2 linked regions of the Oreochromis niloticus genome follow. The protein of the gene in region 1 interacts with the protein of each later gene in a pairwise test. Links are inferred from orthologs where the notes say so. Each region holds a gene or a part of one and is shown in the gene's direction. Other genes may lie near its edges. The genes, in order: rnf40 and ncbp1.

Evidence for each region.
Region 2: the proteins of rnf40 (region 1) and ncbp1 interact in binary tests that used the Homo sapiens proteins (3 or more experiments, as listed by UniProt). The two-hybrid records come from large-scale screens. The link is inferred for Oreochromis niloticus from reciprocal best matches to the Homo sapiens genes RNF40 and NCBP1.

What each region holds. Positions count from the first base shown.
Region 1 is NC_031973.2:19,403,998-19,420,477, forward strand, and holds the start of rnf40 (E3 ubiquitin-protein ligase BRE1B), read left to right. Parts: upstream 1-9,805; 5' UTR 9,806-9,955; intron 9,956-10,360; 5' UTR 10,361-10,370; coding exon 10,371-10,508; intron 10,509-10,630; coding exon 10,631-10,798; intron 10,799-11,803; coding exon 11,804-12,113; intron 12,114-12,703; coding exon 12,704-12,904; intron 12,905-13,468; coding exon 13,469-13,590; intron 13,591-13,763; coding exon 13,764-13,910; intron 13,911-14,970; coding exon 14,971-15,045; intron 15,046-15,170; coding exon 15,171-15,290; intron 15,291-15,412; coding exon 15,413-15,592; intron 15,593-16,029; coding exon 16,030-16,165; intron 16,166-16,480. Other genes in the region: cfap119 (cilia- and flagella-associated protein 119), read left to right, coding at 192-209, 397-431, 533-598, 691-854, 1,179-1,249, 1,361-1,477, 2,445-2,523, 3,564-3,638 and 1 more; phkg2 (phosphorylase b kinase gamma catalytic chain, liver/testis isoform), read right to left, coding at 5,244-5,489, 5,583-5,708, 5,860-6,013, 6,100-6,190, 6,273-6,436, 7,328-7,393, 7,503-7,557, 7,657-7,832 and 1 more.
Region 2 is NC_031966.2:10,216,079-10,232,186, reverse strand, and holds the start of ncbp1 (nuclear cap-binding protein subunit 1), read left to right. Parts: upstream 1-7,861; 5' UTR 7,862-8,011; coding exon 8,012-8,045; intron 8,046-9,919; coding exon 9,920-10,008; intron 10,009-10,214; coding exon 10,215-10,315; intron 10,316-10,411; coding exon 10,412-10,568; intron 10,569-10,666; coding exon 10,667-10,774; intron 10,775-11,044; coding exon 11,045-11,166; intron 11,167-11,249; coding exon 11,250-11,319; intron 11,320-11,477; coding exon 11,478-11,693; intron 11,694-11,768; coding exon 11,769-11,866; intron 11,867-11,985; coding exon 11,986-12,049; intron 12,050-12,143; coding exon 12,144-12,254; intron 12,255-13,067; coding exon 13,068-13,132; intron 13,133-13,232; coding exon 13,233-13,295; intron 13,296-13,383; coding exon 13,384-13,458; intron 13,459-13,910; coding exon 13,911-14,014; intron 14,015-14,123; coding exon 14,124-14,246; intron 14,247-14,360; coding exon 14,361-14,463; intron 14,464-14,689; coding exon 14,690-14,783; intron 14,784-14,895; coding exon 14,896-14,999; intron 15,000-15,089; and 4 more. Other genes in the region: tstd2 (thiosulfate sulfurtransferase/rhodanese-like domain-containing protein 2), read right to left, coding at 2,518-2,738, 2,858-2,996, 3,193-3,351, 3,738-3,853, 4,086-4,191, 5,689-5,808, 5,935-6,043, 6,180-6,475 and 1 more. UniProt on the Homo sapiens protein: Component of the cap-binding complex (CBC), which binds cotranscriptionally to the 5'-cap of pre-mRNAs and is involved in various processes such as pre-mRNA splicing, translation regulation, nonsense-mediated mRNA decay, RNA-mediated gene silencing (RNAi) by microRNAs (miRNAs) and mRNA export.

The sequences.
Region 1 (16,480 bases):
TTTTGTAGGACCCTGAACCGGAAAAAGGAAAAAGTGGCCTGTTGCTAGGATACAGGTGGCTAACAAAGCGGAGCATACTCCAGGCAGATTTATTTTCTGATATATTTCTTTAAACTGTAAAACACGTTTTGAAGTCTGTCCATTTTAACTATAGCTAGTTATTTCACCTAAAGAAATAATAACTTTTAAAAATGGATGGGACAATTAAGGTATGCTCTTCAAGTTTTATTCGCTACTTCTGTGTTCGGTTCTCTTTACTTCCTACTCTTTTAACCTGTGTTAATTTTAAAAAACCTTTTTGGCATAAATATTCATGTTATAGCTTACATTTGACAGAGCTTTTATTATTATTTGTAATGGGTTACAGTGTATAAAAAACATCGTTTTCCTTTGTAGCTACCACATGACCTGAAAGCTAAAGTGATGCTATGGTGAGTCACACACACGGTGCAGATCATTTTCGTTAGCTTCCATTTTATTTACACTTTGCCTGCCTGATTGTAATATTTATCCATGAATCTATTTCCCTCAGGACAGATGTAAGCTACCATGATATGGAAGAGATCAACAAAATGCAATCCATTCCCGATCTGGAGAGGTTTGGATTTGTCACTCATTTATAAACAATAATCACTCAATTATAGGGCACAGACGTTATTTAGGGGGGCTTCTTGTTCTCCTCCGTGACAGTGCTCTGTGCAGTGTGCTTGGAGTTGACCTCCCTGAACCCAGAAAGGGAGTTCTTCTGGAGCTGTACGTTCAGACTGTGCTTTTCTGCAGAGAGCACAGCTTCAACAAAGAACAAACGTCTACTCTCTTGTCCATTATCAAGTCCATTCATGAAGCCAACGTAGGTAAGCAAAGTAGCTTTATCTTAACTATGTGTAGTCAGCAAGGCAGGGTCTATCTGGCTTTGAAAATGATGTGTTTAAAATCAAAACAGTACAAATTATCTCTTCTCCTCACAACGTTTGTTTAACGCAGACTCATCTCTTCTGTTAAGTCTGTAAAAAATACAGTATTTAGGCAATTGAAGGAAATACTGTACAATCTTATTGAGTTAGTGATTAACTCAGTAAGATTGTTGACCTAGTGTCACGTGACTTGCATCACCACCATTAAATGCTAAAGTGTCCTTTAACTTTACATGACATGTGTCTGAACCTCCTTTCTTGCAGAAACTCCACTCAATAACTCGGAGCAGTGTTTCAAGTACTGCAGGGAGCTTCTGTTATGCCACTCAGTCAGGGTGTGTGCAAAATTTGGCAGTCACGGTTTCATTTTCAAACTCATACAGATCCACGACTGTAATGCTGATTCATGGTGTGTTTGCGTGTGCGTGTGTGTCTCCCCTCTACAGCGGCCTCCGTTCAGCATCAGCCTCTTCAATGCTGATGAGGTTAACCGTGTCTTAACATACATCCTCAACAACTACATGAAACACTACAAGCTATATAAATATATCTTTACCACACAGGTAATGTCATGAATTAACTGACTTGAGTTTTCAGTATTTGTCATTAGGTAAAGTAAAATGTATTTCTAAAGCACATAGATTGTCTTTAGTGCTACATGCTCGTTTGTGAAATAATAAATTATATCACAAATATACAAACAAACAAATATAGAATAGAATAGCCCTTTATTGTCATTGTCATACAAGGAAATTATGGGTGCTCCACGCCAGCTATGCAGGAGTAAAAAAACAAAAATAGTAAAGACATCATGAATATATAGGAACAGAAGAGATATATACAAACTAGAGGAATATGTATATATGTATGTACAAAGCAATAGAAAGGCACACAGTGGAGAGCAAAGTGCTTAGAGGTAGTGCAAAGAAAAGACTTGGTCTGAATAGATTCTGTGTATGAGTGGCCAGAGGTGGGTGGGCAGGGTGGGGTGTGGGGGGATAGTGTTAACAGTCTGAATGGCCCAGGGCAAGAAGCTGTTAGTGAGTCTGGAGGTGTAGGACCTGATTGCCCTGAGGTGCTGACCAGGGGTCACCTGTGATGGCCCTGGTTTTTCCTGAGACAGGAGGATCTGGCGATGGCCTCTAGGGGTGGCAGTGGGCAGCCGTGTTAGTTACCCTCTGTGCACCTTCCCTGTTCTCAGTAGTGCCCCCTGTGTACCAAATACATGTTAAAAGAAGAAGAAGGAGAAGAAGCAATCGTAAACATGACACCATAAACCGTTAAATATAATGTATAATATAATAAATAATTTATAATAAATAAATAATATTACGTTATAATTAAGAAATTACAATTAAGAAATTACATATATCTATATCTATCTATCTATCTATATATATATATATATATATATGTATATGTATATATATATGTGTTGTTGTTTTTTTAAACCTTTCATGAAAACATCAGAAGAGATTAATGTGAGTCTGTGATTTTAGGTAAGGTTTCTTTCCACCATTTTTCAAACAGGTAAATCTTGATCTGTCTTTGAGCTACTCTGGGATGCCGGATATTGGATCCCCTACCGTGGAGGATTCTTCTGCGCCAGGTAAAAAACAAAGTTTTTAGTAACATTAAAGTTACATATAGAGAGGGAGAGCAATTATATTTTATTCTCTCCTTTATTCTCCCCTGTTCCCTTTTTTCTTTTACCCTCCTGCCTGTAGGCTTACAATGCCATATCACACATATACTGTATTAACAGAAATAACAGGAATAGAAATGAATAAACAAAAACAGATAAAAGTAACACACGAACAAGAGCCTACAGAGAATTTACAGAGTTCATCTTGGAAAAGCAAACGTGTTTGGCATAAAAAAAAAGCTGTTAGACAAGGAAGACAAAAAAAAAGAAAGAAAATGTAATCTGAAATCATACAGTGTTAAGATAAGAAAGAAAGTAAATTCAGATGTTTTCAGTCGCATTGCCACAGATGCATAAAATGAAGCAACAAGCTACGCAGTCTGCCTTTACAAACATTTGTGAAAGAATGGGCCGCTCTAAAGAGCTCACTGAATTTGAGCATGGCGCTGTAATAGGATGTCGCCATTGCAACAGTTCATTTTGTAAAATTTCTTCCCTCATACATATTCTACTATCACCTGTAAGTGAGATTATTGCAAAGTAGAAGCTTTTAGGAAACGCAGAAACTTAGCCAATGCTCTGCTGGCTCACTTAACTGCAGAGCTCCGACCCTTCTCTGGAATTATCACCAGTACAGAAACAGTGTGCCGGAAGCTTCATGGCATGGATTTCTTTGTATAGCTGGCTCAGAAATTCGGTTCATGTAGTGTATAAAAATCGTCTTCTACCTCTTTGCAGTGACTACATGTGTGATCCAATCTTGCACAGTTGTGGTTGGAGCGAGATTGGATCAGCTGTGCTGCCTGACCAAGCATTGCCAAACTCTTGCAAAACATTCTTAATCTCATTTTCACTTCCTGTGGAAATTAATATTAAGAGAACAAAAAAATCTGAAAGCATCCCTCCAATCCAGCACCTGCCTTGTTATGTGTTGCATTAAAAATGGGATATTAAAAAAAAAAAAAAGTACTGAGCTATATTTATTATTACTTTTATCCGACCAGGTGTTGAGAATGAGACAGAGGCGGAAGATGGGACGTCTCCTGAAACACAGCAAGCCTCCATCGCGGCCCCAGCAGGTAAAAATCATGGCAGCGCTGCAGTTATGCTGCAGGCGTAACTTTTACAGTCCAACACAGCCCAAGCAATGTCATGCATGGAACGGCTTCATTTCCTCACTTTCAGGAGCCACATCTGAGCTGAAGGCGCTGATAGAACAACAAGTCAGAGAGCAGATGACGCTTGTGTCTGGGCAACTAGATCAGCGGATTAAAGTAAAAGCATCTCAGCAAAACAGTGCTTTAGATTACTCACAGAACAGCCACAAAGCCAAAAAATAACACACTTTTTTTTTTGCCCCATCTAGATATGCGGTAGATTTTAAAAAAAGCACTCCTGCAAAGCAGCACGATTAAAACATTTGTTTTATTGTCAATAAAACCATTTTTCTCCATGTACAGCACAACATACTTTATACCTGCATTTATATAATTACAGATTTTCTTTCCAAACAGGCACTTCCAGGAAATCAAAAAAACGTAGTTCTCTCTAGATGAAAGAATGAACTGAGTTAGGAATGGTGCTTGTTAGTTTTACAGTCGCAAACGATGTTCACAGTTAGTCTTGAGTGGGTTTCCTGTTGAGGAATGCTTGCATGCACGAAACATGACAGAAACACGCCAAACATTTAACTTGAATATTTCACACATGTGCCCCAGTGCTGACTCGTAATACTGGCATATATGTCAATCTGAGCTTTAACGCAGCACTTCTATGTACCTGTATGTGTCTAATAAAGGAGACTTATTATGCTTTTTCCTTATTTTCTGCTGTCTTTGTAGTATTGCAATGTTAGGTGTTGTATTAAAGTTTCAGGTAATAATGAAGAAAGTTGGCTTAATGGTAGTGTGGCCTGAAGGTCTGCACTAATGCGCAGTAAAAGACATACAAGGGTTTTTATAAACCGTGAATCATGCAAAGCTACTCAAGTGGAGTCAATATGAGCATACTAGGTCCCCTAGAAATAACTAATCTGAGTGCTTTGATTTCCACTTAACCTACACAGTGCTTAGAAATGCATTCTCTACATCAGAGGGGTCAAACACACACACCGTGGGCCACACATGCAGTAAAGATGGGCAGTATCTTGTAAGTCGTTAAGAGCGACACTTAATTTCACCATCATGTTTAGTTAACGTAGGATTTATTAAATACATAATTGTACTCGCTGCTAAAAGAAAAGGAAAATTTTTAAGATTTTTTTTTTATGGATTTTTATTATGAAACACTTTTACTTGCGATCAAATTGGGCTGCATGTGGCCCATGAATTAAAATGAGTTTGACGCCACTGGCCTACTCAGTTATAACGGACGATTAACACATAAAATCCTAAATATATATTATGATGAGTTTTACCAAAGAGATTGCCCTAGAGGACACCTTGCACAAATTGCACTGCAAACCGGATGACCTGACAGGGAGTTTCAGACAACAACAGATAAGGAATATTAAGTGGTGCATGCTTATCTTGAACTTTCAGAGCCATGATGCGCATTAAGGCACACAAAGATCCCCCGTCCCTGCATTCCTTATCTTGAAACAGTAACTCGATGGAGCAAACACTGCAATGACAGCACATGCAAACGGATACATAAAAGCGATTTTGAGCGACGAGGTTGACCTTTTATGTTTCAAACTCCTCCAGCTCTAGCAGCATGATCTTAGCAGTGTTCTGAAAGAGGGCTGCTCGGTTCTGCTGCTCCCCTTTCTTGACCCAGTGCCCGTAGATCCGGAAAGCGCAGCCGTCGATGAGCTTGCGCACGCCGCGGATGGAGTAAGGATCCCTCGCCAGCACCTCCCGCGTTAGCGGCCGCACCCTGCGGTAGCGGCTGTACATCCTGATGCAGGCGAGCACGCTCACTATCAGAACCTGGATGCATGGAAGCATGTGGAAGTTATTTCCTTCTTCACAGACAGTTTAAGTCAGCGGCAATAAAAATGCTGGGCTAACACAGCGGCTCACCCTAAACGTCTTTCTGGGGCTGAAGAGCCTCACATCCTCCCGCTGGTACTGCCTGAAGAAGCAATGCGCCAAGGCTTGCTCAGCAGTGAGACGGTTAGCTGGGTCCACCACCAGCAGCCTGGATATCTGAGTATCACAAGCACAAAGGTTACACAAGTACACATGAATGATTTAAGAGATGCAAATACTGCAATATGATTTATTCTTTGCACTGGAAATGTCAATATTAGGGTTGCTGCAGAAGACAGTACAGAATAAGCTGACTGTATGAGCTTACCAGATCCTTCACAGTGTCAGACCGGTCGTCCCACTCTGGGGAACTGAACTGATAGCGACCCTCCATTATCATCCTCAGCATCAGCATCTGCTTACGGTGCCAGAACGGAGGCGAGCCGGCTAGTAAGGTGAAGAGGATGACTCCACAGGCCCAGCTTAGAAACACACACCATGCAAATGTTAGAAATGGCAGTAAGGAGTAGTACGTTTGTAAATCTCCGCCGAACAAAGACAGACTCACAGATCGACCTCCTTGCCGTAGCCTGGGTGCATTTCATCCATGGAACACTTTAGTATTTCGGGCGCCAAATAACCAGGTGTCCCACAGAGCTCTGATTATAACAGAAAAGATCGTTTTAAACTAATAATGGATGAACACTTGTCACAGGATCTGCTCATGATGTACAGCCATACCTCGAAGCTTCTCCCCAGGTTGTAGCTGCACGGAAAAACCAAAGTCAGAGAGTTTGATATGGCCATAATCGTCCAGGAGAATGTTCTCCGGTTTCAGATCCCGGTGTACGATGTTGAGGGAATGAAGGTATTGCACGGCCTCCAGCAGAGCTCGCATCATGCTCCTATAGAGAACCGAAATACACACATTAGATCCTTGTTAAATAGATTTCGTCCAAGCATGTCTAAGGTTCACAGTAAACACTGTGTAATATGTTTGTGTAATTTTAATCATCTTTGGCCTGATTATTCTGATTATTCATGGGATACACAACATTGCTGATTGGCTATAAAATGAAAATCTTAGAGAAGCAGAGCTTCTCAGAAATAAAGATGGGTAGAGAGTCAACAATCTGCAAAAACCTGCATCTAAAAATTGTGAAGCAATTTCAGAATAATGTTCCTCAATGAGTTGCAAAGACGACTATACATAATATGAACTCCCATAACCTCAACTCAGAGAATCTGGAGAAATCTCTGTACGCAAGTGACAAAGCTAAAAAGCAGCACTGTGACTGTGATCTTGCACATCTGGAAAGGCAACATCTGTGATGAAATGTATATGCAAGTTTTAGAGCAACATGTGCTCCCATCCAGACATTTTTTCTGGGAAGGCCTTGCATTTTTCAGCAGGACAACGCTAATAACAAAAACTACAAAACTACAAAGAGCAGTTTTATATAAAAACAACCCCCAAAAACATGAATGTTTTGTCGATAAAGTGTTTTTCTTTTTAAAAGCTGCAGCTTTCAGGCTTCCGCTTTCTTGATGTGAGATTAAGTTGGGCGGCGTGACACGAGATTAAAAGTGGGTGGCGACACCAAACGTGTGATTATATTTAGATATTCAGCAGCTCTTTAATGCAGAGCTGCTCGCTGGATAACTTTTATATAAAATCTTGTGGGGTGGCATATTTTGGAATATGGTCTGCAGAAACAGAACTTTATCATGTGCCCAATGCAAAATGCTGCTAGTATTAATTAATACAGATATAGTGCAGTCATGCTGTGGCTCACCTGGTTTCCTTCTCACTTAGGGTAACTTTTTCTGTGAGGTAGTCAAACAGCTCTCCACGTCTCATGCTGACAACAAAAGACAGCAAATTGACAAATGTTGTGGAAAGAAATCTGAATTTCAGGTTGGGAGTGTAAAAAAAATTTAGTTTAATAGTTTTTTTGTCCTCATACTCACAGGTCAAACACCAAAAATATGAATGTAGCAGACTCATAGGAATCAATGAGGGTGACTAAAGGGAATGAAACACAAGAAAGCTTTAACACTAACCAAACTTTATGGAGATAAATTTAATGATTCTTTAACAAAAGGAGAGAGAACAGCAACGTACTGATGGAGGGGTGTTCCTTCACCATGTTGAGCACTTGGATCTCTTTCAGCGTGGAGATTTTCACCTCCTCCAACTGCTGGATTGTCATCTTCTCAGCTGTGATCTCGATAATCTTCACCGCCAGCTCCTGGCCCGTGTGTCTGTGCACACACCTGCGCACCACACTGCTCACACCCCTGACAATGAGCATACAATAAAGTGTATTTTCAACATGATCAAAAAGGACACACGGTGCACAGCATTTGCCCCGTTCCACTTACATGTTTCAGATCAATATGCTAATTTTAATATTAGACAAAGATAACCTGAACACACTTTTTTATATGATGATTTCATTTATTAAGGGAGAAAGGCTATCCAAACTTACATGGCCCTGTGTGAAAAAGGTACTGCCCCCCTAAATCTAATAACTGGCTGTGCCACCCTTGACAGCAAAAACTGCACTCAAGCATTTGCAATACCTGGCAACGAGTCTTTCACATAACTGTGGAGGAATTTTGTCCCACTCTTCTTAGAATTCAGACTTGCTGGTGTGTTTTGTATCATTGTTCTGCTGCATAACCTGTGTGGTCTTGAGTGTCAGTGGATTAACAGATGGCCGTACATTCTCCTTCTGGATCTTCTGGTAGAGTGCAGAATTCATTGTTTCATCAATTATAGCAAGTTATTGAGGTTCTGAAGCAGTAAAGCAGCTCCTGAGGCAAGTTAGGCCTGCAGTTCTTTAAATATAGCTCTGGGTTCTTTTGTAACCTCCTGGATGTTTTTCAGTGGCATCTTGGAGTCATGTTAAGGCCGGCCACTGGGAAGGTTCACCGCATTTTCAGGTTTTCTCCATTTGTGGACAATAATGGCTCTTACTGTGATTCACTGGAGTACCAAAGGCTTGTCTTTGTAACTCTTCCAAGATTGATAGATGTCAATGACTTTGTTTCTCAGCTCTTTCTCTAGATCATGACATGATGTGTTACTTTTTGAGATCTTTCAGCCTACTTTAACCTGTCAGAAAGGTTCTGTTTAAATTATTTCTTTATTCAGCAGTCTGGCAGTAATCAAGCCTGGGTGTGGTTTGTTCTCTTTAAAAAAATGTGGTTAGTCACGGTCAATTTGTGATTTAACAAGAGGGTTAATTACTTTTTCACGCAGAGCCAGGTAGGTTTGGATAACTTTTTTTCCACCTTTACTAAACAAAAACTGCATTTCGAATTTACCTGGGTTATCTTAGTCTAATATTTAAAATTTATTGATGATATGAAACATGTAGTGTAACAAATGTGCAAAAACAACGACAACAACAAACAAATCATGAAGGGGGGGTGGAGGGGATGCTTTTTCACAACATCACAACACCCAGGCTATTTTGGTTGACTTACCTGCCAATCACCTCTTTAGGATCATACTTCTGATAAAACTCCTTGGCCCCCACCCAGTCTGGTAATTCGTCCCCAACAACGATGTCTTTGGTCATGTTTACAGCTTATGGAGCTGTTAAAAGAACAGTCACGTGTCTTAGTTTGTACCAGTGGTTCTAAATAAACAGGAACTAGTTACCTAACTCCTGATAAGGAAGTATTGTGCCCTTAGCTTTAGTTTAAATCTAGTTAGCAGGTCAAACTTGCATTTTACTTTCTATATATACACACATCTCCTCTACCTATTGTTATTTAGAGGTCCATCAAAACGGTTATGTAACTGTCTTTGCTATGGCTTTGATACAGCAGCAGGTTCACTGACCGAACAGGAAGCTACTCACCATTTATGCAATCAAACGACAAGACAGAGAGGGAAACGGGGAATCAGGAAGCCCTCTCGGGGTCGAGGAATCTATTGTGAAGCCATAACGTGTGCGATTAAGCGGCTACAGTAACGAAATTAGCTACCGTTAGCGTTAACAGCAGTCAGCTATCACCTGAACACTGTTTACATTCTGGTCACAGTCCTGGAAGTTATTATTACAGTGTGCCGCAGCAGCGCCCCCGAGAGGCCGGAGGGGACGTGGCAGCATGGTTTGCATTTTTGAGGTCTCGAATACACTCTCCAGATAAATTCAAGTAGCTGCACTTCAAAGCACCGTATCCCAAGGAAGTAGTCCGTGTTTTGAGTGTGTTTTTTAATTTACAACTTGTTGTTACCAACGGGAATACTTGATCTTTACATTGTGTGAATTGCAAGCAATAGGCGGCGCTAATGCTCTCCCGTTATTGTAATGAATATTTAAAACCAACGAAGAAGAAGCGTTAGCTGCATATTTCCTGTTGCTTCTCTGATGTCCTGACTTACGTTTCAACTACTGGTTGTTAAGGTTTGTAATGATAAAATTTCTCTTGTAAAAAGACACACATATAACTGTTTAAGAACATTTTGTGTATGTAGTGATGGATAATGAATAAAAACCCCGACCACCTCGGAATCTTGACTCAATAACGCCGTCCGTTAGCCTTAGCGTAGCATTAGCATGGTTAGCGGTAGCAAGCTGCAAGCTTGCAAAAGATCTTTAATCTTTGTAGCAATATGGAATTAAGATGGTTGGTAGTTCTGCAGGCATGCCTTTATACAGTAATAACTCGGCATGTAAATGCTAGTGGAGCAGAAAAGTGAACCTTTTAAAATTAGAGGTCTGCATTTTTGATTTAAGGCTAACGCCGTCCCTTTGCTGTCACAAAATGAATGAATTATAATTCTTCATGCCTTGCTTGATGTAATGCAGGGAAGGAAAGATGTCAGGTGCTGGGGGAGGAAAGCGTCCCCCAGGCGGGGACAGCCCCCCTGGCCCACCTGAAAAGAAAAGCAAGAAAGAAGAGAAGACCACCACCACGCTAATTGAGCCAATACGCATAGCTGGAGTCTCCTCTACGGTGAGTTATATGGTCATCACGTTCTCAAGGCACAATCTGTCATCTATTTTTGCCAGACAACATCTACAATCCCTAACACTCATTATTTCATTTCTCTGTTTGTATGCGTTTGTTAATTACAGGAGGAAATGGACATGAAGGTTCTCCAGTTCAAGAATAAGAAGCTATGTGAACGCTTGGAGCAGAGACAGGCGATGGAGGATGAGCTGAGAGAGAAAATTGAGAAGCTGGAGAAGAGACAAGCCACTGATGACACTACCTTGCTGATTGTTAATCGCTACTGGTCACAGGTAATTCTGTGCATTTCATTATATTGTTAGAATCCATTCTTGAATTTTAGTTTCCACTCTAACCTGATTTAAGAACTGGCACATTTTATCAAAACCTCATGTAAACACAGCAGTCAGATGAATCTATTTTTAGCACGCTTGCATTTGGATGAGGCAAACCAATTTGGCTTATATCTGGTAATTACAGATCTTAACATTTTTTTGTGCTACCACTTATAGCAGGCACATGTGCATGTATAAATTAAGAAAGCATTGCCCAGCTCTTCCATCTGATGGATTGTCATCTTTTTATAATTTGTAAGGATTTGAGTGTTATAAAAATAACTCCCAACAGCTATATAGGTGTTATAGATAATTCTGGAACCTTAGGCAGGTTATATAGTAGGTTTCATCCAGATTGATCAGCATGTCTAGGAGGATAGTTGTTATATACATAGGTCCAGGCTCCTCCTCCTATGTATCCTGTACATGTTTTCCACCTGCCTGCCTTAACCTGATTGTACACATAGTGACAGGTATTGGTCGTTTATCAGGATGTTTAGAAGTTATTTAGCACCAGGTTCTCCACAAAGATGAGTCCACAATTGGAGAGGGGCGGCCGTTGTTCGGCTGTCCCCCAGTCCCCCAGTCCAGTCACAAACAGCTCTCCTTCACCGGTGGGCTGTTCAGTCATAATCCTGCAGATGGTAGCTTTGCACCTTTGGTTCCTCAGCCAAGCACTATACACCAAATGTCTGAACCTGCAGTTCCTCTTGTACTGAGCAGGATTACTATTGCAACTACACATCATCAGTAGGGTCTAATCCCAGCTCACGTTCCCTGTTGGTAGGTGAACAATCCAACGCTTGGTGAATTCTGCTTCACAATGATAGGAAGAGCCAACATCGAAGGATCAAAAAGCAGTGTCGCTATACGTATACTTAGCTGTACTAAGGCTTAAACTCATGGTAATAACTTGTAAAGAGAATTAACACCTTCTTCTTTCTATGTCTATCTGACTTGCAGTTGGAAGAGAACGTGCGCATTCTGCGTAAACGTATTGAGCCAGATCCTCCAGTCGTTTCTACCCCTGCCCCACCCTCAGCAACCATCCCTGACCAAACACCAATGGAGGAAGATAGTGTCAACCTGGCTTCGCCTTCTGGCGTGCCTCCCCCTCCTGTGCCAGAGGCCCAGAACGAGGGTGAGCGGCCAGAGCAGCAACAGGAGGAGCGTCAGGAAGAGCGTCAGGAAGAGGAGCAGCAGCAGCCCCCTCCTCCCACTGGGTCAGATGATTTACTGACACCATCAGAGTCACAATCGGATTCAAAAACAGGTTAGCAATTTTTTAAAATGACAAATCGTCTGTCATAGACTATTGTAATCTGTTTGCCTTATTCATTCATTCTCAATTTAACTTAGTGTATCTTTATGACTTTCATTACTCATGAAGTTACATCAGTGTGAGTCACTACTATTTATATTGATAGCTAATTTTATGCAACAATACTGCACTTCATGCCTTGTAATTTAAGGATATTCTTGTTTATTGTGTATTGACCATTTTTCAAGATGCCTAATAAATTATAGTGAGGCAAAGGGGAATGATAGTGGGCTAAAGAACGCAAGTGTTGCAGCTTTTCTTTCATCTGTTAGCATGTACTGCTGGCTACAAACTGCAGAATTTTAGTGTATTATCAAGACTTTAGTCCCAGTCTACACAGTCTGTATTTGATAGATTTGCTTTTTCTTTGCTTTGTATTTAAATAACAAATTTGAAAATGCTTGTTTATACCAGACTGTACCACATTGGACCACACTGTGCTAGCAATATATACTGTTTTCATTTTTTTCAAAAAAAATGTGATATTTAAGAATTCTAGTAAATTGTTATTTGCTGACTTTATCATTTTTACATATGTGCAGATACATCACCGCCACCTCCTCCCCTGAGTGAAAATGCCAAGGGTTTCTTGTCGACTCTGGAGCAGAGCAGCGAGGAGGAACTAACTCTGCACCTCCAGGACCGCATGCAGTTCAGCAAAGAAGCCATCGCCTGCTTGGTCTGCGTCTTTGATAGGCTGCACAGTCACATCAGTGACATGTGCAAGGTGGTCCAAGCTGCAGGTAACTGTGGAGAAATGTTTGTTATTGACACTTAAATATACAGTTATAGTCAGAAGTTTACATACGTTTATCATAGTGATTTCTTTGAACTGTTCTTTTTCCAGTTTTTTATCATTAATGACATTAAAAGTCAAAAATTAGGTGCACAAGTTTGAATTTAATATGGATTTTTTCTAATTCACACAGGGTTAAATTTTTTTATACAGAATCAAATATATACATACACTCATTTAAAGTGGGTGTGTGTGTGTTTGGATATGGATACGTTTGACCCTGTGTGGTTTTAAAAAATCTAAAATAAATTCAAAATCACTCTATCCTGAAAAAAGAACAGTTCAAAGAAATCATTCAAAAGTCCAAATTACCCTGAGATTCATGGCCATGAGTGTAAGTAAACCTCTGACAACGGTATCTTACATCGTTTACATTAAACTAATTACTAGATACTTGAGTTTAATGCATCATAACTGAGTTGTTGGAGTGCTTCCTTTGATACTTGTTAGTTTGGCCAAATTAGAATGACAGTATTGTTTTGTTTTGTTTTGTTTTTTTTTTGTTTGGCAGGATTTGAAGATGACGGCCAGTCTGACATCATCAATCTGAACTGCACTCTGCTGGACGAGAACACTCGACTGCGAGACTTAGCCACTCTCCTGCAGGGGAGACACCATAAGATGTCCATGGAGGTACAATGTCCTTAGTATTGTTTAAGCGACTCACCATGCACGTTGACTGTTTGCAAGTGTAGTTATTTCGAGTGTGTCAGGGTGAATGAATGAGGAAAACTAGTTAGACAATTTCTTATGGTCGCTAATTCTTAGTGATGCAGCAACTATTCACATGTCCCACTCTCCTGCAGTATAATGAGCTTGTGGACAAGGTGACCAGCTCAGAGACCAAGGTGACTGAGATGGAGACAACGGTGGAGGACCTGCAGTGGGACATTGAGAAACTGCGCAATAGGGAACAAAAGCTTAACAAACATCTAGCAGAGGCCATGGAGCAGGTGTGTTGTTTAATGGCCCCTTGCAACTTTTGCATCAGCCCCCTTTTGTTTTTTCTTTCTTTCTTTTTATAGTGTGCATATTTATTTTTAAATCTTTCCACTAGGTGTGGGCTCTGTCGTTTTTCCTCTAATACATGAGTTGACATTGATAAGGCTGTAAGCATCAATGCATGTCAAAACAGCTGCTTCTACTGATGCACAGCCCAAAGGTTGGCTGTGCATCAGTAGAAGCACAGCAGTTTTCTGATCATGAAAATTGGATGTCAGAAGAATTACAAAGTAGAGTTGTATGCTTTTGTTCATAAGTACAGACAAACACAATCCGCTTTAACTAATTAGCCAAATGTATTCTTTTGAGTCTTTGTTGAACACATTAGTTACATATTTTCATGATAGTGCAAATTGGAATTAGTTTATCTTTGCTGGTTTATAGTCCATGCTTCCTTACAGAGCTGCTTCAGGTCTGGCATATTCTTAGAAAGTCTGGTGTGCACTTGAGGTGGATTGGATTAAGATCTAAGTTCTGAGTGGTTGTTTTGAAAGGCAGATTGCCCTTTTTTGTAGTAAGCTTTACTTTGAAGTTTGACAAATGTATCCTGCTGGATCATCTAACACCACAGATTTTGTTTCTCTCTGTAGGCTGATTGCAGGTCTAATTTGTGAGTTTCCATCTCTATGCAAATCATCAGTTTTTAGTTAGAAAGCACAGGAACCTGCTGAAGTCACCTCAGCAGATGTTTCTTCTGAAGTACAAACTAAATATTTCTGCTTTTGTGAGTTAAAGTAGCTCTAACCCCAAACTTCCAATCTTGCTTCATGGATTTGATCTCAAGCCCGGGTCGGCAAGATTTGTTTTTCTTTTTCCTTTTTCCTTTTAAATGTACACTATAAGACTTTGATGCAAACTATGTGGATATGCACACAAGTGTTATTAGTTAAAATAGATTGTTTGTCTATAACTGCATGTGCAGATGTGACACATTTTTTAAATGCACACAATAAGAATCATTTACTTTACGTTGTTACTTCCTGACACATTTTCTGTGTTTTCTGTCTGCAGCTAAAGTCAGGATACAGCAGCACTGGCAGCTCAGGTGGGCTGGCTGGAGGCCAGATTACACTGAATATTCAAAAGGTTAGATGAAAGTACATGTTTAAATCTTTACTTAGTGTTGTGTAACACATTTTTATATGCAACTTGCCCCCAAAAGTCCACATTTCTTTATCAATGTGGTGCTCTTTTTTTCTTTTTTTTAATAGTTTGAGAGTCTCAATGCAGAGCTGGAGCACAACCAGGAGCTGGCAAATAGCCGCATGGCAGAATTGGAGAAACTACAGGTGGAGCTCCAGGAGGCTGTGAGGGAGAGTGAGAAGCTCAAGGTAAATGTATTTGAATCTGCATACCTGTGAGACAGGAGGCTAATTTCATTTTCCTTCTTTATTTGAATGATCTTCATGGTTTAGCCCTGCGTGTCATCTCACTCCACATCTGGGCTTTTCAGATGGACCTGCGTAATATTCCAGAGGAGGTTGTGAAGGAAACGTTGGAGTACAAATGTCTGCAGTCTCAGTTCTCCCTCCTGTACAACGAGTCTCTAGGAGTGAAAACCCAGCTGGATGAGGCACGGGCTCTCCTGCTCACTGCGAAGAACGCCCATCTCCGACAGATTGAGCACATGGAGGTGACTCTCAGAGCTTTTCTTTGTGTGTTTGTGTCAACATTAATATGATTTATGATTCAGAGAAACGATGACACTCCGGAGCAGCTCCTTCAAGCCTAAGCTTGCAGTGCACTGGCAGAAAGTCTGTTTGTTCTGTATTGTTTTTTTTACAGTTTAAACTTGTATGTGTTGTTATTAGTGCTGTCAGCGTTAATCTCGTTAAAATGACGTTAACCATAACTGCATTGATGCGGCAAATCTCCGTTAACGAGGTAACCACGCTGACGCCGTGCAGCCCCACGCACGGGGCGATCCGCGGTAACTCGTTAACAGAGATTTGCCGCGTTAATGCAGTTAAGGTGTTAACGTCACTTAAACGAGATTAACGCTGACAGCACTCGTTGTTATTAATGCTCAGAAACATGGAGAATAATGTCTCACTGTTTTTAACCTTTCAGAGTGATGAGCTGTCTCTTCAGAAGAAGCTGCGGACTGAGGTCATCCAGCTGGAGGATACTCTGGCCCAGGTGCGCAAAGAATATGAGATGCTGCGTATTGAATTTGAGCAGAACCTGGCAGCCAACGAGCAAGCAGGTACCTTTTCAAAACACTCTCACACTTCAGTCAGGGACATTGTTTTGCGTGTGTATTCGTCTGCCGAGAATGAAACTGTATTTGTTATATTTTTTTAATGTGCTTCAAAGCTCAGTAGAAGAATCCACTCAAGTGGATATTAAGGAAGATATCAGTCAGCAAACTAATCCTCTCTCAGCTCTGCAGAGAATATTGCATATCATCCGTATCAAGGTGTCAGTTCTGTGTGATTAAACTCATCATTTACAGCTTCATGATGCTAGCTGAGAGTGCTGAATGAGTCAAACTCAAAAACACCCACTGACTGTCGGGCTT
Region 2 (16,108 bases), on another chromosome or scaffold:
TATCAAACGATCACTATGGCATTACTGAGAGTTGAAAAACTGTCTAAAGTCTTTCATCTTTAATAAAATGATCAGTGTTCTGCTCTACCAGGTGTAACAATTGAGTTTAACATCCAGGCATCCATGAAAATGGAATTTATGACATTTAACGGTGTTATAAGTTAGCAGGAAGTTAGCTCGCTAGCTTCCATCTAAATACAATATAGAATGTCCTGACTGCGGGTTTTGGAAAGAAATTCAAACGTACAGCTCTGCTATCACTTCCAACATAAATGAAGACAGAAAACTAAACAGCAGTGACGTTTGTAGGGTTACTGAAGTTTGGCTAGCTGGTATATAATGATGTGCTACGTGACCGCTAGTGACACAGCTATGTTAGTATAATATAAACAAGCTAACATTTTTTTCCACTCGATAAAAGTTAACGTGAGTGTTCTCGGTGGTCAGGAACAAATGTAATCGCATGGTAGGATGATGTAAAAGGACCAAACTTCAGTCAGGAGAACAACTGAGATAATCCATCCACAATACGAGGTTAGTCATTCATATACTGCTGCATGGGCTGTGCTGTAGTTACATCGTAAGGTGTTTAAAAACTGAGCTTAAATAAATGATTAGCGGTAAATAAAAGCCGAGGGAGGTCAACAGTGATCACTGACTGTTTTAGGAGCTTTTTGAGATTAAATAGAAGAAAATACAAAACATTAACCATGTTAACAACACAAAAGCCATATTAAACGCAGACTACTTTAGGCCCGGAAGTAGGATTCCTCAGGTCATCACTGAACAACCGGATAGCCTATTAGTTTTATTTGCGATGCACTCTGAGGTCATAGCAAATTAGAACAAACATCCTACTGAGGGATTTTGCAGAATTACCTTCTATTTATAGAGTTGCTAATTATTTGGTATTATTGCAGGCAAACCAGCCTATGAAATGGATGAAACACATCGTGACTGGGTTCCAGCGCTACACAAGGGACCTGCTTCAAACATATCACCATGCCAATCAGATTACTTCTTCCATGTGAGGGTGAAGAGGTGACCCTTCTGGATAAGATGGTGAAGGTTCGCTGCGTTTGGTGAACAGTGTGGTAGTAAAACCAGGGAAAAATGAAACTTGCTTCTGTTAAATATTCTTAAGTCTTGTGCTGTTAAAATTGCTGTATTTTTTCAAAAGATACAGTAAGTAATGTTAGTGGTGGGTGATATCATGTAAACACTGTCATGATTTTATGTAAACATTGTCTTTTATAAACTATAAATGACATGGATTCTACATTGTAACTGATGTGATGTTCTATAAAGTGGTTTTAAATTTAAAAAAAAAAAAAAAGGCAAAAATTAGTTTGTTTCTTTATTCAATTTTTGAACAGTGGTACTCAGTCAGTACATATTCAGTACTTCTGGTAGATATTAGTATTACACAGAAGAAAAGCATAGTCTCAGATCATCTCCAGCTTGGGGTTTTGGAGAGAAAATTATACTGTAGTGGATGTTTCTGTATATCCTGCTGATGGTTTTAGTTTATTTTTGGAAAGGAATGATAGCGTAACCACACATGATATGTCTCCTTGCACAGTCTTGAGAGTGTAGATACATCCTGTTCCAGTCTTGAGATACTGGGCCTTTATAGAGAGGAGAGCTGAACAGGTCCACATACATACCCAGTAGAATCGATATCTGCTCCTTTGTCTGAGTAGGAACAGGATGAAGAATGCCTCCTCCATCTGGCTATTGATTTGCATGTTTCTGACCAAATTGTTAGAAAAAAAAGATTCCCCAAGCATCATTTGGGCCCAGCGTCCTTTAGTGAGACATGTCCTCACAGCCCAGCCCTGTGCAGCTTGACTGGCCTACCAGAACAGGCAGGTACCTCACTCTTTCATGTCTGTCATATCATGTTTTCTTAAAACTTTATTTTACTCTTTATTTTAGTTACTGCTTTCATTTACTGCTTCTGTTGCTGTAACTTTGATGCTATGACCTGTTGAACCTATTATGTAACTGCATACTTTGGAGCTGTTTTTGATATGCATCTATTATTACATATGCTAAAGGGACATTCTGCCACGAGGCAAACAGATGCACTACTGCTTGTGGTTTCTTTAAACAACAACTGCATTCTCAGTAAGCTACACTAGCCAGAGTTTGGAAAGCAAATGTGCATGCATCTTAGTAATGCATGCATATCTTGGTTATACATGGAGCACTAAATAATGATGCATCTGTTTGTTAAGCAGCTTGAAAACACAAGAGACAAAATATTTGTCACAGTTTAAAAGTACGAAACAGAAACATTAATACATACAATAAGTTGAAGTTGAGCTTTCATTAGTGACAAAATGTTCACAATATTCACATGATAAAAACAGGTTCAGCAGATATTTTCATTAGTTAAAATGTATCCGACTTAATTTCCCACATACATAAGTATAAAATTTCCTATTTTGAAAATTTGTCACACACATTTTACACTATGTTTATGTTATTTTTAAGCACTGAAGTCTGATCATTTTACACATCCTGAGGGATTCTGGGGCGTCCGTCAGTGCACTCGCACTCCTCTTTATGATGTGAGGTCTCCTCGGACTGAGCCTGACCTTTGGTCATGCACGTGGGGCAGCAAGCGGTGTGGCCGTCCAGTCTGCAGCTCGGACAGGACAGAACCAGCTGGCAGCAGTACTGGGTGGAGCAGAGCTTGTACTGGTCCCATGGATGGCCGCAGTACCTGCAATCTAAACAGAGACTGTTATTTTCTTTTAAAAATGACACGTATATTAAGAGAATATTAGAGCTTATGGATGCTTTCTGATACTTCTAACAATGAGAGAATGGGCTCTGTTTACACACTAACCTGAGATGATGTCACTGTTTGAAGAGATGGCGTAGCGTTCATCAAACACAAAAAGCTTTCCACGATAGAACCCCTCGGGGAAACGCTCCAGGTACTTATGAATTCCACCTTTCAGCTGGTAAACCTCCTTACACACATCCTGGTACCAGATTTAAGAGATAAATATGAACAAGAACTTAACATATTAGATGCAAACCTTTCAAAAATATGCATTTCTCAATACCTAAACTACTAGTAAAAGGCTCCCCCTTGTGGAGAATCAGCAACCTGCAACAAGTGAGCGAGTGAACCCAGCTCCACTAAAAGCTTTCCAGACTGATGACTGAACAGCTTACTTTGAAGCGGAGGTAGGCGGAGCCACGCTCACAGCGGATCCCTCCTGTGCAGTACATCAGAACCTTCTTGTCTCTGAACAGCTCAAGGTTCTGGTCCACGTAGTCTGGGAAGTAGCTGAACTTACGGATATTAGGCGCCAGGCACTGAGTGAACTGCCCCTGAAGGCAAAAAAAAAAAAAAAAAGCAATTATTAGCAATTATTAACTGTAACAGCCTTTGCACATTACTCTATAATAGCACAATCTCAATACCACTGCTTCTGGCTAAAATACTGAGGCTTATGAAATTGATCCCAGTCATGCTTTTCTGTTTGGATACAGACTCATTATTTCCAGCTACAAATATCAGTGTTCTGCCCATCCTTCATATTTGCTCATGGTAGCTTGTGTAGATGGTGCACAAAAAACTTGAAATTACACCATAAATCTCTGGGCATGTCATGTGATAAAGCCAAGATCATACATTACCCTGAAACCACCAAGCTAATCAGATTACTTTTGAATGAAGTCAACAATCTCCTAAAGAAAATGAATTTTCTACTCACAATTTTACTCTCATAATAGTTGCGGCAGTCCAGGAGGATGGTGTCATTGCATGAATCTCCTTTAGTCAGAAGAGCTTCCACTTCTTTATGAAACTCTTCGGGCTCCAGATGAACTCCTGAGAGGCAAAACAGACACATACCTGACATTATATACAAGCACAGCATAGAGTTTCTCAGCAGCTGGTACAAGAGCACAGCTATGGCTGCAGAGTAGCAATCAAAGCAGACATTTCGCACCTTATTATGATAATAAAGGCAATGATGTTAGTAAATCAGCTACAGGTGTAACTTACATTATTAATAATTTCTATAGGCTTATAGTATCATTACAAATAGTACAAATAGTACCTGCCAGCTGGTAAGATATAACATCAGGGTCCACTCCCATTGGTACAATCTCCTTGTAGACCCCAACCTTCAACTCTGTAAAACACTCTGCGCCACCGTCACTGGTCTGAACAAACCCACAAAAACAGCACCATTAATGTTCAAAGATTAACAAAAATAAATTAATAACTGCTTAAAGCCTCTGTCAGTGCGCCCCAGGGTGGCTGTGGCTACAACGTAGTTTGCCATCACCAGTGTGCGAATGTGTGCGTGAATGGGTGGATGACTGGATGTGTAAAGCGCTTTGGGGTCCTTAAGAACTAGGAAAGCGCTATACAAATACAGGCCATTTAAAGTCTGATTATGGACAAACCACACCCTGATGGAGCCTATAACTATGATCCTATGACCCACATCCACCCATCCACATTAAGGGGACGGCTGTGGAGCGTGTGAGCAGCTTCAAGTTCCTGGGAGTCCACATCTCCGAGGATCTCATCTGGACGACCAACTGCTCCAAGCTGGTCAAGAAGGCTCACCAGCGCCTCTTCTTCTTGAGGACTCTGAGGAAGAACCACCTGTCCTCAGACATCCTGGTGAACTTCTATCGCTGCACCATCGAGAGCATCCTGACCAACTGTATAACAGTCTGGTACGGGAACTGCTCTGCATCGGACCGGAAGGCGTTGCAGAGGGTCGTGAAAACTGCCCAGCGCATCGCCGGAGCACCACTTCCTGCCATAAAGGACATCTACAGGAAGCGGTGTCTGAAAAGGGCTGGGAAAATCATCAGAGACCCCAGTCACCCATCACATGGACTCTTCACCCTCCTGCCCTCTGGGAGGCGCTACAGGAGCCTCCGGACTAAGACCACCAGGTACCGGAACAGCTTCTTCCCCACAGCTGTCAGACTCCTGAACTCTGCCTCCTGACATCTGACCCACGTTAAACTCATGGACTGAACATACACACACCCACAACCACCTACACACACACACACAATGGACAACTGTACCCTCAAACACACAATAATAACATGGACTGAACCACCACTCACAACCACTAGCACTTTATATAGCCTCTGTAGAAATTATCCACATATCTCACTTATCTTAACTGCACTCCTGTATAGTTCTGTGTAAATAATCATTCTGTACATACGATAATTTTTAATCCTACAACTGTTCATAACTTGCATAGTTCACATTTCTGTATAACTGTATATCTCATATTTCTGTATAGTTTTTATTTCATATTCTGTATAGTTTTTCATATTTATATCCTGTTCATAGCCTGTACATAGCTTGTACTCACTACAGCCTGTACATACTTATAGTTATAGAATATTCATAACATACTTCATACCGTGTACATTATAACATACCATAATAGACCCATTTCTGTAATATACTTACACATCTCTATTATTGCTAATATATATTGTAATATATCTATATCACGGCTAAAGCACTTCTGGATGGATGCAAACTGCATTTCGTTGCCCTGTACCTGTGACATGTGCAATGACAATAAAGTTGAATTCTATTCTATTCTATTCTATGAAGCAATATTAAGAGGGGGAGGTGACACTGGTATATAAAATTTCCCTTTATCTGAATCTGACCTTAAAATCCTCCTTATCCATCTCAAACAGTGGATGTGAACGCATTGCTTCCATGTAAATGTCAGTGGCCAAGTTGGTGCCACCAACTGTTCCGTTGATGCCTTCAGTCGCCACCCTCACCTGAAGAAAAAGATCAACATACATTTTAATGGCACAGTTTCACTGAAATTAAGAGAAAAGCCTTTTTTCTTTGCTCTTTCATAGAAGTGTTCCTCAGCCCGAGGCAAGATAGGAGAATTCATTCACCTTGCCTGTTAAGTGGAGTTTCTCACACAGAGCTTTCTGCCAAGCACAGATGACATGTGGCTCCTCGACGCGACAGTAGTGATAGTAAAGCAGAACCCTGCCTGGACCGCTGATAGAGAACGAGAGAACAACGAACAAAAATAAAACATCAAATTCAAAAATTAAAATGGGACACATTAATAATCTACATATATAGATTAGAAATATAGAATATAGTGAAATAACTGAATTCAGATTGTCTTTACTTTTTAAGTTGCTCCTCAGAGATGTGGCTGATATCGGGAATCCACACAGAGACGTCCACCGTTTCTCCACTGTGCTCATTCAACTGCACCTGCGCTGCTTCGGGCTCTTCTTCCAGTTGGCTCAACAAACGCTCATACTCGTCCTGTGTGAGCTGCTGTATTTCAGCATTGTGCACTCTGGCCACGTGTTTGTGAATGGCGGCGTGCTCGATGAACGTCTGGCCGCAGCAGCACCACAAAGGGCTTCCTTCCTCGTGACTACCGTCCTTCTTGGATGCCACAAAGGCAGCAAATGACTGAGGGGATAACATAAAAAACAAATAAAGAGATAAATCTTTAACATGGTCAAACAGATGTTTAAGATTTTATAGAAGACTTATATATAAGACAGTGGCTGTGTGATCGTATTCCACAGTTTGGTGCATATGTTGCCCAATATGTGATAATATTGAAATTTGTCCAGAGTAGTTTAGAAACTGTATCAGTTTCTAAAATAAACGACTCGAAAGTTGGTAAATAATGACCCTTCCTTCTTAACAATATATTACTATTGTGTTATTATTATATTATCCAACTTAGGTTTGTTGGGAGAGATGAAGCCTATCCCAGCTGACACTGGAAGGTAGGTGGGGCACACCCCACCTGTCAGTCCACTACAGACTGTAAAACAGGACATGGGAGGATATCAAAGTACCAGAAGGAAACCTATGCAGGGGGGGAATGCAAACTCTACACAAAAAGACCAGCAGGTTTAAACCCCAGAACCTTCTGTAAAGACTGTGACCACTGCACAACTGTTTGTAATAAAAATTTAAGAATAAGAGTTGACATATTGACATCTGAATTTTTAAATCTGTCCCTAACATTTTATATTAGCATCAGCCTTCCTTAGCCTAAGTTATTAAGTTATACAACAACAACAACAACAATATTTTTTAAGAAGAAGAACTACTTTTTTTCTGCTACACTCCCAGCACACAGCTGAGAAACCACTGATTACAAATACAAAATTACAGAATGTAAAACTGATCATAACGTTTTCTAATATTGTTGTTCATAAATTTGTAAACTGTCACCAATTGTCTTTTGCAATTTGAAGTTGCAGTGAGTGTTATGAGTGTGCTCAAATTTGTATGTATTTTCAGATTTTAACTATAAAATACAGATTACAGATCAGATTCATTTTGATGCTAAGAGAGGCCAGTGACAATTTGAGGCTTTTATCTTTCTTAGATTTTGAGATATTAATGTTCAAACATTGCCTCAGATTTCAATGTGCGAAATATCTGGAAATTTCACAATAATCGTTATATATGTCCAACAATTGAACCATAAAACAGGGATTCCAGTCAGTGTGTCCTGATGCTCACCTTTCTCCTGCAGAAGCTGTAGTATCTCCTTTGTGGGGCAGAAAGTTGCTTCTCGTGTTTGAATCCATTACAAACTGAAGAGTCAACCTCCCAGTTTATAAACTCTGAGCAGGGTGTATCTTCCGCCGCCATTGTGTTTTTACAGAGCTTTTAAAATAATTAGCGACTAACCCGTCTCACCAGAATTAAACACAAAGTCTCACATATTATTTTAAGGAAACAAACAAACAAATCCTCCAAACGTGCACCAGAAAATTCAGCACAAGACTCCGGACACCAAAGACGGGTGCACTTTCCGGGTTAGCCGGATGTGCTTCACTTGAATCAGACCGCTTTTATTTTTCTCTGAGCGGCTGGTTGCTGAATGATCCATAGATAAACTCGTTTAACGGACTCATTGTTTTGTTTCTCGTTCAACACATATTTTGGCTTTGTTACATTCACATCGAAGCGGGGTGAAACATGTCCAGGAGGCGGCACAGCGATGAGAACGACGGTGAGTCGGTGCACGTTAACGGCGTGTATTATTCACACCGTTAGGCTAACCAGCGGTGGCTAGCTGGCGTTAGCGAGCTTTTCATGCGTCCCCTGCGCAGTGTTGGGAGGGTTATTTTACTAGTTTGATGTTTGGGTTTTATCAACGACATCCAAAAAGTGCAAAACCATTGATGACCGCAGGTATTCAGTCACATTGTGGCGCACTGAAAGCGAGAAAAGTGCTCAAACTGTCGCATGCAGCCGCAAAATGAACCGGTGCAGTTAGCTGCAGGATTAGCTGGCGTTAACCAGGGTAGCCAGTGACTATGGGGGCGGTAACCAAACACTGCAAAACATGCACGACATTTAGTGTTAACATCTGATTGAAAGTTTAACTATGGATCTGGATTTATGGGCGGGGAAAATCACCTAAAAATATCAAATGTTTTCCCGTAGAGCGCAAGATCCTGAATTTAAATGGGACCTGGTCTGCTTAAAGATTAAATCAGATCTCGTCTCTTAATCTGGGACTACGGTAACTTTGCATATGTACATGGGCAAAGCAAGTTTGTTGATATAGCACTTTTCAAACACTACAGTCATTCGAGATGCTTTACAAGATTAAGATTAAAACAGAAAAGAAAAGAAGGGAAAAATGCAGTAATAGTAGTAATATTCATAGCAACAACAATAATAGCAATGATGGTAGTAAAAAGCAGAGATGTCAAAATTTTGTGTCATGGCTCACATACAGCTGCATACAGTGGCACATACAGTTTGAATTATAAAACCTGTCTTTTTTGTCTGTCTTTTAAAAATTATACATTTCTACAGTGAACGGAAACATATCTGTCATTTAATTGTTCACCTGTTGCTTAATTAATTTGGCATAGGATCAGTGGCCATGGAGTTCTTTATCTGTATAAAAACCTATAAAAGTTATGAAAATACAATCAAGAAGCCAGAATTAATACCCTCCTTGACACTTTTGAAAGCTGCCCATGGGGGCCTTTCTTGGGCCGATTCTGGCCCCTGGCCCTCATGTTTGACACCCCTGGTTAAAAGCATAGCAGCTAAGTGCTTTATTACTCAGTTTTGTTTCAGATTCAAGCACTATTAGGTGACCAGATCTTGCAGACCTTAGAGAATTATTGGGTTTGTATCTATAAAACAACTCAGATATATATTTAGGGCTGAAGCCCTTTAATGACTTGTGTAGTGTGATGTGTAGTTTCTTTTCCAGGAAGAAGCATGTCAGGTTAAGTCATCAGATTTCAAAGGAGTTTGCTAGTATGAAGTACCTATGCCGTGCATTTATAGTGCAAGTATAGAACTGCTGTTAGATGTGGCAGTCTGCATGCGACACCAGGAAAATAACTTATTAATCCCAGAAAGAGAACGCTGTTGATACAGTGCTGTTTGGTTTGATAAGACATAACGAACAACCACTCGAGACTACATCCTTACTTTTAATATATTAACAGTGTTAATAAACCTTTATATAAATAACAGAAAATAAAGAAAAAAATAATGTAAAAATAATTTGGTCCGCTTTAAATGTTCAATTCAATTGCTGGATTGATGTTTTGTTAATGCTCTTATTCTTTAAATGACAGTGTAAGTGTGCTTTTCTGAACTTCACAAAGCTTTATTTTTATCAGTTCATTGTTTAATTCATAGTCCTGTGCTGTCTGAAAACCACTGAACATGAAATGGCAGTGTAACTGATGAACACAGCAGAGAATTTATCATCCTAACTTTGAGAAGACTCATTGAGATTAAAAATCTCTTTTTAAGAGTGCACTAGCTAAGAGAAACTGACAGATATTTCCTACAGGAGCTGGTTGAGCCTCTTCTGGCTCTGATTATTGTGTTACTCTTTCACCTTTCCAGGAGGTCAAGCCCATAAGAGGAGGAGAACATCGGAGCCGATTGAGATCGAAGACCGTCTGGAATCACTGATATGTCGTGTTGGGGAAAAGGTAAGGAGACACTACAGGAAGGACACATTTTTATTTTCAGGATGAGTAGCTTCATTTTCCGCTCTAGAGAGTTGAGCCTCACAAGTTCAGTGCAAAACTTTGCTTCTAAAAGTAAATGCCAGAATGTTCTTTATATGTCTTCTTTGCTTTGTGTTAAATTGCCTTCTAGTGACAAATTGCTCTTGTGCGAAAATATTTCCTTACAGAGCACATCGTCCCTCGAGAGCAACCTGGAGGGCCTGGCCGGCGTCTTAGAGGCAGACCTCCCAAACTACAAAAGCAAAATTCTGCGCATTTTATGTACTGTGTACGTTCACACCTCTTCTCACCCTTTGATTTCTAATAAATTTTGCAAGTGTGTTTTGTGTGTCTGCAGTCGTCATATGTTGTCATTTGTTGACAGTGCCCGCCTCCTGCCCGAGAAGCTGACCGTGTATACGACCTTAGTCGGCCTCCTTAACGCCAGGAACTACAACTTTGGGGGCGAGTTCGTTGAGGCCATGATCAGGCAGTTGAAGGAGACGTTAAAAAACAACTTGTACAGTGAAGCTGTTTACTTGGTATGCTGGCTTTGTATAATAATCTTACAGATTGCTTTTAAACTAATTAACATGGCCACTTTGGCATTTATTTTTCATAATGACATCTCTTTCTTTAGGTGCGTTTTCTGTCTGATTTGGTCAACTGCCACGTGATTGCTGCTCCCTCTATGGTGGCCATGTTTGAAAACTTTGTCAGTGTTACTCAGGAGGAAGATGTGCCACAGGTAGGCAGACGGTTTATGGTGTAAAGCAAGCTGTATGGTACCCAAAAGCAATTTAAATAATTTGTAATGTTCACATTTGTGTCAGACTTTACATTAAAATAGTAATTATTTGATTTATCTGTTTCTTTCTTTCTTTTAATTTTGGTGAAAGTCTTTAAACGTGATCATTATGGAGCACATATTGATTTTTGCACTAGCCCATGGCTGTGTCACAGTCCACACTGGTGGATTGTGAGTAAGTTCTGTAACTGGTCTCTTTTACGTCGTCAGGTTCGGTCGGACTGGTTTGTGTATGTCGTTCTGTCCTGTCTGCCCTGGGTCGGGAAGGAGCTCTATGAGAAGAAGGACGTGGAGATGGACCGGCTCCTCAGCCAGATCGAAGGCTACCTCAAGTACGTTCCCCGGTTTGGTTAGATTTTAATTAAGCAATCATCGTTTGCTGCCGTTGTTTCATTTTTACGTCCACATTTTTCAGGAGGAGAGTAAAGACCCATGTCCCCATGCTGCAGGTGTGGACTGCAGATAAACCCCATCCACAAGAGGAGGTGAGAGTCTTGTAGTCAGTTAAACAGCAGCAAATATGTGCAATGGTCAGAGCAGTAAAAGTGGCTCCTTATGGCCTCATGTTTACTAGACCTTGCTGTTTGGATACAGTAATGTTTGTTTTTGTCTGAGTAAACGGATCGTATCTTCCTTCCTCCAGTACCTGGACTGCCTTTGGGCTCAGATTCAGAAGCTGAAGAAAGACCGCTGGCAGGAGCGTCACATTCTTCGTCCCTACATCGCCTTTGACAGCGTGCTCTGCGAGGCCCTGCAGCACAACCTGCCCCCCTTCACCCCACCGGGCCACATGCCCGACGCCCAGTACCCCATGCCCCGGGTCATCTTCCGCATGTTTGACTACACCGACGCCCCAGAGGTTCATTACAGATAAAACACTGTCTGTCAAACTCTTCTTCTGCAACTTTTTACATACTCATCTCTTTCTCTTCAGGGACCTGTTATGCCTGGCAGCCATTCTGTGGAGAGATTTGTTATAGAGGAAAACCTGCACTGCATTATCAAAACTCACTGGAAAGAGAGGAAAACATGGTGAGTAATGAGGGCTTCTTTTTTTTTTTAAACCTGAATGTGTGAATAAATAGTCACTCCTATTAATTTTTACTAAAAGACTTAAACTAATTTTTTCTTGTTCTATTTCTAACGCTCAGCGCCGCCCAGCTCCTCAGCTACCCAGGGAAAAATAAGATCCCGCTCAACTATCACATCGTCGAGGTATATTTTCTTTCTTGTTTCTGGCATCAAAAAAAAGAAACAGTGCTGAGCTGTTTTAGTCTAATCTGCTGGCTTTTTGCCTTTTTTCTTTTAGGTGATCTTTGGGGAACTTTTCCAGCTGCCCTCGCCGCCTCACATCGATGTCATGTACACCACACTGCTGATCGAGCTCTGCAAACTCCAGCCTGGATCGTTGCCCCAAGTCGTATCCTTGATTATTTTATGTTAAAAATAACCTTTAGTGCGAACCCTTTTCACTGCTCCTTTGAAATATTTGAACATTTGTTTGAATTAAATGCACCAAACTGTTGCAAAAGACAACCGTGGCCATCTCTAATTTAGATTTAGATTAGTTTAGATTAACAGGGCCTAAGTATTTAAGCATTCGGTCTTATGTAATCCATGTTCAAACCCCAGGATTCACTACTGAGACACTGAGAGTTTGGTGAAATAGTTTATCGTGGTCAACCTTGGCTGTGGGGTTAAAAGGTTAGCAACTGAAATGTGTGACTGGATTCTCCTCTCTGTTGTCCCTGTGACATTTTCTTCATAATAATTTAATACAGGCAGCAAAAATAGGCACCAGAAAATGCAGAAACACATATTTTCCATGTCCCGATCAAATTGAATAATTCTTCTAGGGCATCCATTCTCTTCAGCTTATCCTTGTCTGGGTCACAGGGGGGCTGGAGCCTATCCCAGCTACCATACGGCGAGAGGTGAGGTACGCCCCAGGAGAGGTTGCCAGCCTGACTCAGGGCTAACACAAAGAGACGGACAACCATTCACACACACAGTCACTCCTATGGGCAATTTAGAATAATCACTTAACTTGAACTCACTAACTGTAACACAGTAAGGAGCTTAATGAGTAGAAGTGTCTGTGAAAGGATACAAATGGAGATCAAATTTGACTTGTCTTAATGAGCACATATGTACAAAACACACTATAGTTGGAAAATTTTTAAAGGTTTAACAATTAGAAGTTGTTATTGGAGCCTTAACACCTGCCTGTTAGTTGGCTCAAGCCACAGAGATGCTTTACATGAGACTGGACACCATGAACACCACCTGCATAGACCGGTAATGTTTCTGTGTCTTTACTTTAATAATACAAAGAGAAGGTCAAGTGTTTCCTGACTCTCATTTAACACTAATGCAATCACACTGCTAATTTTTGCAGACTAATCAACTGGTTTGCTCATCATTTGAGCAACTTCCAGTTCCGATGGAGCTGGGATGACTGGTGAGTGACTGACTGGGAGCATTTAAAGTGGCCGTATATACGTTTTGTCTTTTTAATATTATAACCTAAATCATTCTCTGTCTTAAAGGGCCGACTGCTTGACCGTGGATCTAGAGAAACCCAAGCCCAAGTTTGTCAAAGAGGTTCTGGAGAAGTGCATGAGGTATTGGGGCATTATTTATGCTTTCTTTGCGTTTTCCAGTCCTGTAGAGGAGATCAGGACACGAGAGTCAGGTGTAGTAATATAGTTAGAGAGGGTTTATCTTCTTTGTATTAAGTGTTTGTGACGGTGTATCAGGGCCACTATAGGGAAGAAGTAAGGCTGGGAAGAGAGTACAATAACAAGAAAACATTTTAAAATCCTTTTGGATTAGAAAATTTGAGGGGAAAAAGAAGTATAAAGTTAGCTCAACCAAATCACTTTTCATTGTGAATTTCTGACTTCATAATCTAAGAAAACATCATGTCTTATAAATAATGGCTTCAGTATTAAAATATTTTATTTTTTAACTTATTTTCTCTCCAATATGATCAGTTTTAATGTCTAACAATTTCACTATGTCTGTGTTTTTGCTAATTTCTCTGCTGTTCTCTGTTTTGCTGCATTAATCGCAGACTTTCATACCACCAGAGGATAGTGGACATCGTGCCTCCAACCTTTTCGGCCCTCATTCCTGCTGACCCCATCTTCACATATAAATATGTAGATGAGAGTGCCTGTAAGACTGCCAGACATTTTGTTTTATTGTTACTTAAAAACAAAAAGGAGCAGACTGATAACTAAATACTGGTAACATCAAACAAAATGACGACTCTGCTGCTTCACAGCCTCATTACCGGGTTACCCCATGTCCATCACCGTCAGTAACGCCATCAAGAACAGAGCATCTAATGAAGAGATCCTCACCGTCCTCAAAGAGGTCCCCAACCCCAACCAGGAAGATGACGATGGTTTGTTTCCTGTTTCATTTTACTTGGTCCTGCATGAAAAGTTCATCTGTGCACTTCTGCCTTTCTCCTACACTTCTCCCTTCTTTGATTACATTTATTTCTCGGTCCCTCCAGACGAGGGCGAGAGCTTCAATCCTCTGAAGATCGACGTGTTCCTGCAGACTCTGCTCAACCTAGCAGCCAAATCCTTCAGCCACTCGTTCAGTGCACTCGGCAAGTAAGGAACATCTGTTGACACCAAAATATTGTATTGTATTCAGCTATGATACAGAGAGACGCATCAAATGTTTTTCTGCTATTATACAAAGTGCCAGAAACTATTATTTGTTAAGAGCTAAAAAAAAAAAAAAAGGAAATGATTTAATTTAGTTGCTTTTTATGCTCTGAATGCACATGAAATGACTGGAGAGCTGCTGGCCTCACCTGCGTCTGATTGCTTTCAGGTTTCACGAGATCCTGAAGACTCTGGCCAACAGCGACGAGGGAAAGCTGCACCTCCTCAAAGTGTTGTATGAAGTGTGGAGGAACCACCCGCAGGTACAACAAACAGTGTGACACCCACGAGCATGTAAATGAAGCCAATTGTTTTTTGTTTTTTTGTTTGTGTTTTTTTTCTGGTTCATGTAAATGTGTCTCTGCTGATTGGCAGATGATCGCCGTGTTGGTGGACAAATTGATTCGGACGCAGGTTGTGGACTGTGCTGCAGTCGCCAACTGGCTCTTCTCTCAGGACATGGCCCACGAGTTCACCAGGTGGGACACGCAGATGTTTAGGTTTCAGCTCTCATGACGCGAGCGCAGCATCTTCTCTGTAAACTGAAAGACTTTCTGTGCCTCATCTAGACTTTTCATCTGGGAGATCCTGCACTCGACCATCCGAAAGATGAACAAACACGTGCAGAAGATCCAGAAGGAGCTGGAGGAGGCCAAAGACAAACTGGAGAAACAGCAGCACAAGAGGGTAACCCTCCTCCCCAATACGCAATCATCATTATTTTAATGTTAAACTGAAAATAATGAAGAAGTTGTGTTAAATGAATTCAATTTAAATTTTTGTTCACTACTAGCGCGACAGCGGGGATGACGAGGACATGGACAAGAACAGTGAAGATGAGGAGGGTCAGCTGGAGGAGCAGATCGAGAGGCTCCAGGAGAAGGTGGAGTCTGCTCAGAGCGAGCAGAAAAACCTCTTCCTCGTCATCTTCCAGGTACGGAAGACTTCAGTTTATCTTCTTAACTACTTAAGCGGTTTCAAGGTTGCAGCGCTGCTGGTGCCAGCTCTCCAACTTATGCAACTCCTGCAGGTGGAAGTAAACAAGGGATTTAATCTTCTGTAGTGCCCTCTAGTGGCCTCGTGTCAAGTGGCTTGTGTCTGTGCTAAATCTGAGCAGATCCCCACATCACTGCAGCTGATTGCTCCTTAGAAGGTAAACATTGTGTGCTAACAGCACTGTAGAAAGGGTTAGATCTATATCATCACAGGTGAAGACATATGAAACTCCTGCTGGGTTTGAATCTGACTCGCCTCCTCCTGCTCAGTTAAATGTCAGTGAAGGAAGAATCAGGGGACAGATTAAATTCTGGGATTAGACAAAAAAAATCTCCGAACAGAATTTATTTTCTACTAGGGTTGTGTTCCAGAAAGTGGAATTAGTAAAAACTGAGGTTGTTAACCATGAGTTAAAATTTTAAGTTCTCAGTTCCCCAACGACGGAAGTTAAACTCTGGTTCACTTTCTGGTTTTGGCCTCTTCTCGTCACCGAAGCAGCTGACTGACACTTTATTTCATTTCCTCATTAGAGAGACAACGTCAAAGCTCATGTCGGACCACAATAACAGACGATGTTTTAAAAGATAAATGC